3 linked regions of the Kluyveromyces lactis genome follow. The protein of the gene in region 3 binds, or shares a complex with, the protein of the main gene of each other region. Links are inferred from orthologs where the notes say so. Each region holds a gene or a part of one and is shown on either strand. Other genes may lie near its edges.

Evidence for each region.
Region 1: SWP82 (region 3) and SNF11 share a complex: the UniProt entries of both Saccharomyces cerevisiae proteins name them as parts of the SWI/SNF global transcription activator complex. The link is inferred for Kluyveromyces lactis from reciprocal best matches to the Saccharomyces cerevisiae genes SWP82 and SNF11.
Region 2: SWP82 (region 3) and SNF2 share a complex: the UniProt entries of both Saccharomyces cerevisiae proteins name them as parts of the SWI/SNF global transcription activator complex. The link is inferred for Kluyveromyces lactis from reciprocal best matches to the Saccharomyces cerevisiae genes SWP82 and SNF2.

What each region holds. Positions count from the first base shown.
Region 1 is NC_006041.1:899,251-901,265, forward strand, and holds SNF11 (Snf11p), read right to left. Parts: upstream 900-2,015; coding exon 501-899; downstream 1-500. UniProt on the Saccharomyces cerevisiae protein: Involved in transcriptional activation. Component of the SWI/SNF complex, an ATP-dependent chromatin remodeling complex, which is required for the positive and negative regulation of gene expression of a large number of genes.
Region 2 is NC_006038.1:744,893-747,368, forward strand, and holds the end of SNF2 (SWI/SNF catalytic subunit SNF2), read left to right. Parts: coding exon 1-1,917; downstream 1,918-2,476. UniProt on the Saccharomyces cerevisiae protein: Involved in transcriptional activation. Catalytic component of the SWI/SNF complex, an ATP-dependent chromatin-remodeling complex, which is required for the positive and negative regulation of gene expression of a large number of genes.
Region 3 is NC_006040.1:503,352-506,948, reverse strand, and holds SWP82 (Swp82p), read left to right. Parts: upstream 1-1,506; coding exon 1,507-3,039; downstream 3,040-3,597. Other genes in the region: KLLA0_D05907g (putative short-chain dehydrogenase/reductase), read left to right, coding at 242-1,123; KLLA0_D05863g (uncharacterized protein), read right to left, coding at 3,130-3,597. UniProt on the Saccharomyces cerevisiae protein: Involved in transcriptional activation. Component of the SWI/SNF complex, an ATP-dependent chromatin remodeling complex, which is required for the positive and negative regulation of gene expression of a large number of genes.

The sequences.
Region 1 (2,015 bases), on a different chromosome or scaffold from region 3:
AAATTTAAACACTCATACAATGGAACTATTCCCCCAGTCCAATCGATTGATCTTCTATCTAATATTATAACGATGAGAATACCAATTAGAATCAGTGCTAATCTAAATATACTCACGAAGCACTAGTACGTTTAACGTAATTGACATACTTGTATATATTTATATTTATTTGTCCATATGAGAGGATTTGATAATGGCAATGGCAATGGCAATTGCCATTGTCATATCATGATGGCACGGACGGAAAAAAAATTCAGGAAACTTGAGAATTAAAGGGAATATCGAAGACAGATAAACATCTGGTGATGTCTGTGGAAGCCTATCAAGGACCGCAATCGTTCTATGCTTCATTGCTGCATTGCTGCATACGGTGCTGATACCGGAATGGAGCAAGTATTATTATAGGTAACTACAGAGAGCGTTAAAATGAGAGCGTTTTATCTATATATTATGTATGTACACACAGTGTACACACAATGTACGCACAGTGTTCGTTGAAGCTACCATAATTGGAACATTCTATTCATTAATAGATACATCTTGACCAGCATATCCTGTTGTCTTTCCTGAGCTGAAGCAGTGTTTGAAAGAAATGGGTTTGGAGGAGGGTCCATGATAGGAGGTTTTGCTGCTAGATTTCCTTGATTTATCTGAGATATTGTATGTAAGTTACAGTGTATTCTTTTCGTATATTGGATTAGTATTTGTTCCATTTGTTCTTTGGACAGCGACGCGAGTGTCGGTACCTGTCTGCTTTCGTACATGGTTCTTGTTTCTTGGGATTTTTTGATCAACATCGAGTTGATATGAAGAAGCACTTGTATTTTCCATTGTAGCTTCTGCTTTGGTGAGACTCCTGAGTCTGATTTCAGGTCTATTGCTGGGTTTAGATCTGTCATGCTGATCTAGGGTGGGTGCAGGGTACTTTTCCGTAGTCGTCAGTCAGTCGATCTTTTTATCTTTGAACTTCCTTCACTGTCAAAGTAGTAAGACGAATTAAAACGTGATTTGAATTATTTTCAAGCGGAACGAAAAAACCACTAAGTATCCAGTTCATAATAGCGACTAAAGGCACTCCAAGATCACAAAAATCCCTGGGCTGCCATATCTATGTACACTAGACACTCGTGCTCTATACGGTCACCTATTCATAGGACATAAGTTTCTAAGTTTAAAACACATTCAGTCACGTGTGTAACACGTGACTGATAAAAAAGAAACAGCAAGAGTTTCTCAGCCACTTTGATGACGAATGCTCTTCCTCCCTTACTGCCACCCCTTCAACGCCTCAAAATGCCACCATTACATAACTATAACTATCGATTCACATTATTCCCCCACATTATGAAATCCCAAACAATGTTTTCAGTTACAATAGAAAAAGCTCAGCCAACAAATTCTTAGCCTTAGGCCACAACGAAGGACGCATAAACTGAATTCCTACCTAATTCCATAGCCAGACGAAAAACGTACCATCTCTCAGTTTCTCTCAGTCAAGTTACCGCATATTTTCGTGGGTTTAAGTCACAAGACGGACCAGTTCCCAGCGTAGGAACCTCACCCATTTCTTTTCGGCCCTGCTGGCAGTACGTCCGATCAGAAAATCCACCATAAAACGGTTACCTTTCAACTGGAAACTCTTTATTACCGAAACTGTTCCTTGCCATATTAGTTCTTTTCTTTTCGAATTGCTTTACTAAATCCGCAGCCATCTTAAAATACGTAACTCTCTGCAAAATAAAGTATTAAATATATATACAAATATGTCCATCCATTTTGTTGATAGACGTTAATGCCAACTAGTAAATCTTGTTAATCTTGTGATGTTTGATACTTCATCTAGTCGATAACTTAAGTAGTGGCAAGGTATTAAGAGGAATCCAGGCTTAAGCCACCCGCTGTTTATTCTCTTTGCCTTGTGGTTTTTTTCAGGTTTTTTTCTGGTATTTCTCTTTTCGAATCATTTTGCATATCAAAAGTTTCTCTAAGGTTTCTCAAGGTTCTATCTCATCGTC
Region 2 (2,476 bases), on a different chromosome or scaffold from region 3:
ATTAGAAGATTACATAAGGTACTCAGACCTTTCTTGCTTCGTCGTTTAAAGAAAGATGTTGAAAAAGATCTTCCTGATAAAGTAGAAAAGGTTTTGAAATGTAAGATGAGTGCATTACAACACAAATTATACCAACAGATGTTGAAGCATCGTAGGCTATTCATTTTTGATGATTCAAGTAACCAGAAGTTCTCTAGTTCTCGTGGGTTTAACAATCAAATCATGCAACTCAGGAAGATTTGTAATCATCCGTTCGTATTCGAAGAAGTGGAAGATCAAATCAATCCAGCAAGGGAAACGAACGATACCATTTGGAGAAGTGCCGGTAAATTCGAACTGCTAGAACGTATTTTACCAAAGTTCAAGGCTACCGGTCATAGAGTTCTAATTTTCTTCCAAATGACGCAAGTTATGGATATCATGGAAGATTTCTTGAGATATCTTGACATGAAATACTTAAGATTAGACGGTCATACTAAATCTGATGATCGTACTGCATTATTAAACACTTTCAATGCCCCAAACTCTGATTATTTCTGTTTCCTTTTATCTACAAGAGCTGGTGGTTTAGGTTTAAATTTGCAAACTGCAGATACCGTTATCATTTTTGATACTGATTGGAATCCTCACCAGGATTTACAGGCCCAAGACAGAGCTCATAGAATCGGTCAAAAGAATGAAGTGCGTATTCTTAGATTAATTACAGACAATTCAGTGGAAGAAGCAATTCTTGATAAGGCGCATGCCAAATTGGACATTGACGGAAAAGTTATTCAAGCAGGTAAGTTTGATAACAAATCAACAGCTGAAGAACAAGAGGCATTATTGAGATCGTTACTAGAAGCTGAGGAAGAGGAAAAGAAAAGACGTGAGTTAGGCATTGAAGAAGAAGAGCAGTTGGATGATAACGAACTCAATGAAATCTTGGCGAGAAACGAAAATGAAATAAAAGTATTCCAGGAGTTGGATGCTCAAAGGATCAGAACACAGATGGAAAACGGTATAACAAACAGACTTATGGAGAACTCAGAGCTTCCTGAATGTTACAATGTTGACATTGAAGCAAAGCTTGCAGAAGAGGAAAAGCAGAACGTGTTTGTTGGAGGAAGAGGTAATAGAGAGAGAAGAACTGCGCACTACTCTGATGAATTATCTGAAGAACAATGGTTAAGGCAATTTGAAGTCAGTGAAAATGAAGATGAAGAAGGTGACGCTGGCCCAAAGAGAAGGAGAAGGAGAGCCGCTGAAAATAATGCTAAAAGGGCAAAACTTGAGACAAACAAAGAACTTGACGGTCCAGCTACAGGAACGGAAAATACTCCTGTTTTAGATCCGCAAGAATCAAATGGAGACTCTGCTCCATCTGGTGTTATTGCCGGTAAAACTTCAATTAAGACTGCAAAGAAGACCAGCAAGGGTAGGAAGAAAACTTCAACTGCCGTTCGTAAGAATGGCAGAAACTATCTGCGTTCAGCAGATAATGCTACAAAAACTTTGAAAGAAAGACAAGAAATTAGTCAAAAAGCTCGTGAATTGTACGACTATGCTGTATACTATAGAAATGCCGATGATAGAAGACTTTCAGATATTTTCCTAGTGAAACCATCCAAACGACTCTATCCAGACTATTATTTGTTGATCAAATATCCTGCCGCATTTGAAAATGTCATGAAACACATTGATCTGAATGTTTATGATTCTTTGAAACAGGTTGTCGAAGATTTCCATTTGATTTTTGCCAACGCTAGAATATACAACACAGAAGATTCAATCATATTTAGGGACTCATTGGAGTTGGAAGATGCAGTGATCGCGAAGTGGAAAGAAATGACAAACGAACAAGAAGAGGTGGACTTTAGTGAATTTGATGAAGAGTTTGCAACTCCACCCTTGATACCACCATCTACACCTGTATAGTGTTTTTTTTTGGAAGAAGATCACGGAGACTACACTACATAAACTATAAAACATATAGCTAACTAAACACTAATTAAAAATGTAATCATACCTAACATAATAATAGATATTTGAAATTTCAATCCTTTTCCATGTAGGGCTGATAATCTTCGTAATGTTCAAACTAAAACGAATAGAAATCATATTAGACAGTTGGTGGAACAGGCCATGCCAATATAATAGGTGGTTAGCATTGGCTTTGCGTAACCGACACATGACAAAGCATATAAAGGAATACTGAGCCTAATCTACTGTTTGCTTGTAATCAGATCAAGAGGTCCCTGGTGTATTATTACTGCCGAAGATATACAGCCAACGGAGACCATTACACGTGACTTGTGGTCTCTGATGCCATAATAAAATAGGAAGGGCATAAATTTCTCCTTTTTCTTTTTATGACAACAATAAGCTTCTATGGCCAAGTTGGTAAGGCGCCACACTAGTAATGTGGAGATCATCAGTTCGACTCTGGTTGGAAGCATTTTTTTGAATTTAATAAATGCTCAAAAGAAAAAAGGCT
Region 3 (3,597 bases):
TGGTTGACAGCCAAACCAGTTCACAATCTTCAGGACGAATCGCAATGTCATTAGTCAGACATATTGTCGATAAAAGATCACCGCCGTAACTAATAAGTCGAAGAAATCATATATAGATACTATTTAAGGTAGCTTAGTGCAACGTTGATTGCAGATATGCAGCTTGCACAGTAATATTACCAAGAGTCAAGGGGGAACTATCTATTGTAATTGCATCGGACTAATCTTACATCAAACAACCATGAAGACCAATCCTGATATTGTATATACGAAGGCTCAAAAATTGATTGAACTCAATTTAGATAATAAATATGTTGCTATCGTAGGAGGAACGGGCGGTATTGGCCGTGAGTTGGCAAGAGTGTTGGCACAAAAGGGTGCTAAAGTCATCGTTGTTGGTAGAACGTTCAGAGACGAAAATGTTGAAGGTATTGAATTTATCCAGGCTGACCTAGGTTTGGTGTCAGAGGCATCCAGAGTTGCGGAATTGTTACCTGCTGAAAAGTTGGATCTTCTTATCTTCACTACGGGAGTTTTGGCTCCTCCAGCGAGACGTGAGACTAGCGAAGGTCTAGAAGAAGATTTGGCCGTCAGTTATATCAGCCGACTAGTGATGATGAATCATTTGGTACCCAGATTGAAGGAACATGGTGAGAAAAAACCTCGCGTATTTGTAATGGGTTTCCCCGGTGATAACTATATGGGAGATTATAGAGATTTGAATTCAGAAGAATCTTACGGAGCTATTTCCACACATATGAAAACAGTAGCCGGTAATGAAGCTCTAGTTTTGGACTTTAAGAATAGGTTTGCTACTGTCAATTTTTATGGGTTGAATCCGGGGCTCATCAGGACAAATATTAGAGATAATTACCTTGGTAAAGACACTTGGAAGTCAAGAGTGGTAGAATGGTTCATAGGTATGACAAATCAGACTGCAGAGCAATACGCTGAAAAGTTAGGCCCCTTGCTAGTTGCCCCAGAATTGGAAACTCATTCAGGCGCCATGTTTGACAAGAATGCTAACCCGATCCTTCCATCAAAAGATTTTACTGATGATTACGCCAGGAATTATATCAAGGCCTCAGAAGAACTTCTTGCAAATCTTAAGTTGGCTCAATGAATGACACTACCAACATCTGAAGCCACCGGCACTATTATCTAAGAATCCCGTTTTATTCCTATATTTTAGATACGTTAGTTTGTATGTAACCTAACTGTCGGGTATTTGCTGTGTCAGTTGCTGGTCATCACGTGATCAGTATCTTTATGTATTTTCCATTGTTTTGAAATTGGGTCTTTTCAACATGTAATCTAACTATCGAATGCCTGTCATTAACATAAACGTAAACATATGCATATCTTTCAAAGTACATCGTGAAAGAATTCAATAGACGGTATAAGCTGCGACACTTTCATCCATCCTAATTATATTTGGAACACCACGAGACCTTTCTGGCTGTTGAACAGGATACGTTTATTTGTTTATCTTCACATGCTGGAAAAATGGACTCCAGTACTAACTCATCTGTCACTGCTCAGGTGAATCCGGTGCCAGAATATGTCATAAAGAACCATGAGCTTTTTATTTTGAAAACCACATTATCAATACTCAATAACCCTGAATTACTCTCCGGCAGACTTGACAAGCCACCAACAAAGCAACTTGTACTACCTTCGTTCACCATTAAGGAAAGGTTATCAGACAACAATGACTCTTATGTTTTGGGAAAGGGTGATCAAAATGGGGAAACGAAGGTTGATAAACAAGGACGGTTACATGGAGAAAGGCATTACTTGTTTCCTACTTTCACTTATCCATGTGCGGAAAACAATAATTCGGAAAATTTGTACGTCTTAGTACGGGATTTGATTAGAGTCTTGAATCTAGATGTGGAACAACAAGAGTTTTTGGCTCAGCATCCAGACCTTTACCCAATTAATGCAAAACATGATATTATCGAATTTTTGACCCAGTATAAACTTTTACCTGAAGGTGCTACTGCTGCAACATATATCACAGCTAGATCTGCTTTTCTTGTCTTTGGAGCTGCTATACTAGCATCCGGATCAAGAGTGATAGATGATTACTGGGAACAACTATCCAAAGAACAGGGCTTCCAAGCGCAGCACAGAGTATACGCACTCTCTCAAAAACTTCTCGACATGGTATGTTCGATCGATCCAAGGACTAGAACAGCACATTCTTTAGGTCCACCTGAGCTTCCTGAATCGAAGCAAGCACAAGCGGGCGTTATGTCCACATCACAACCGCAATTCGAAGACCCGTTTTCAACCATTACGGAACTACCGCCTTTAGAAGCACGTAAAGAGTTCTTAAGTAATATTGCTCATGGTGAGCAAACTGCAATCATATCGGGTCAAACTATACATGGAGCAATCGAGTTGAGTACTATTTACAAAATTCCAAAATACCACTATAAGAATTCCTTCGCCGCTGCTCAACAACACAATGTTCTAGATTCCCCGATTGGAACGCACACCCACCCGGTAGAATCTCATAACTTTGGTAGAGGACGTAAAGCTAACTATGTTCCCCCGGAGGAGACAGATGTGTTGGCTCAAATTCCTGGATGGAAATTTACGCAGCTACCAGTTACAACAAATGATGAGTTACCTACAACTTTCAGTGCTGGAGGGTTACCGATATATAATAAGGCGAGACTTCCTGCAAGGTTAAAACTATTGACGCCAAACCAAATAAAAGATTTAGAACGATCCCATGATGTTGTTCATTTGAATACAGCTCTTGGCCATGTCCGAAAGTTAAGAAACACCCGTTGGACTAAATTTTGGCAGTATAAGGCCGGTGCACCTGTTGGCCTTACGGAGGATCAACTTTCGTATTACAAAGAGCAATATCTACAGCAAGTTTTGAACCATGTTGATGTGAGCATTGTGCCAAACGAAACGAAGAATGTAGATGAAAAGCGTACCGTTAAGCGAGTACCGAATCCAAATTTTTTGGGATACTCCAATGTGTCAGGGTTTAGGCCACCTTATGTTGAAAAACCTTAGAATAATAATGCAACTTCATCTATATCGAACTAAATACTGCTAGTAGAAAGCTATGCAATAAAGCTGCAGATATATATAGAGGATAATTCATTATAACAATTTAACTTTAACAATGTCTTGACGAATTTTGAAAGTGTAGTATGCCATAACTAAAACGATTAGTATTAGAGGCAAAATCCACATTAAGAGTCTCTTGACGATTTCGTCAACTGAAACGCCATTTCCAGCATTTTCCATGCTTTGTTTGGTGGCCTCTCTAATCTTTGCTTGATCCTGAAGTAATTGCTCCAACTTATCATTCATAACAAAGAGGTCCTTGAAGGATTCTGTATTTACTTCACCTTCTTTACCCATTGAAGCCACAATAACTTCTAAAGTAGTTGATAGATATTCTAGCTTTCTCAAGTGCGCTGCTTGATTTTCCAAGATGCCAATTAATTTACCGTTTATCACGCTGATGTCATTGGCTAATATCTTGCCCTCAATCTTATCCAATTTCTTGTAAAGTTCGTAGTTGTCCACCTTATTTGCTAAACCCTTCATTTTCATGAAATCTGT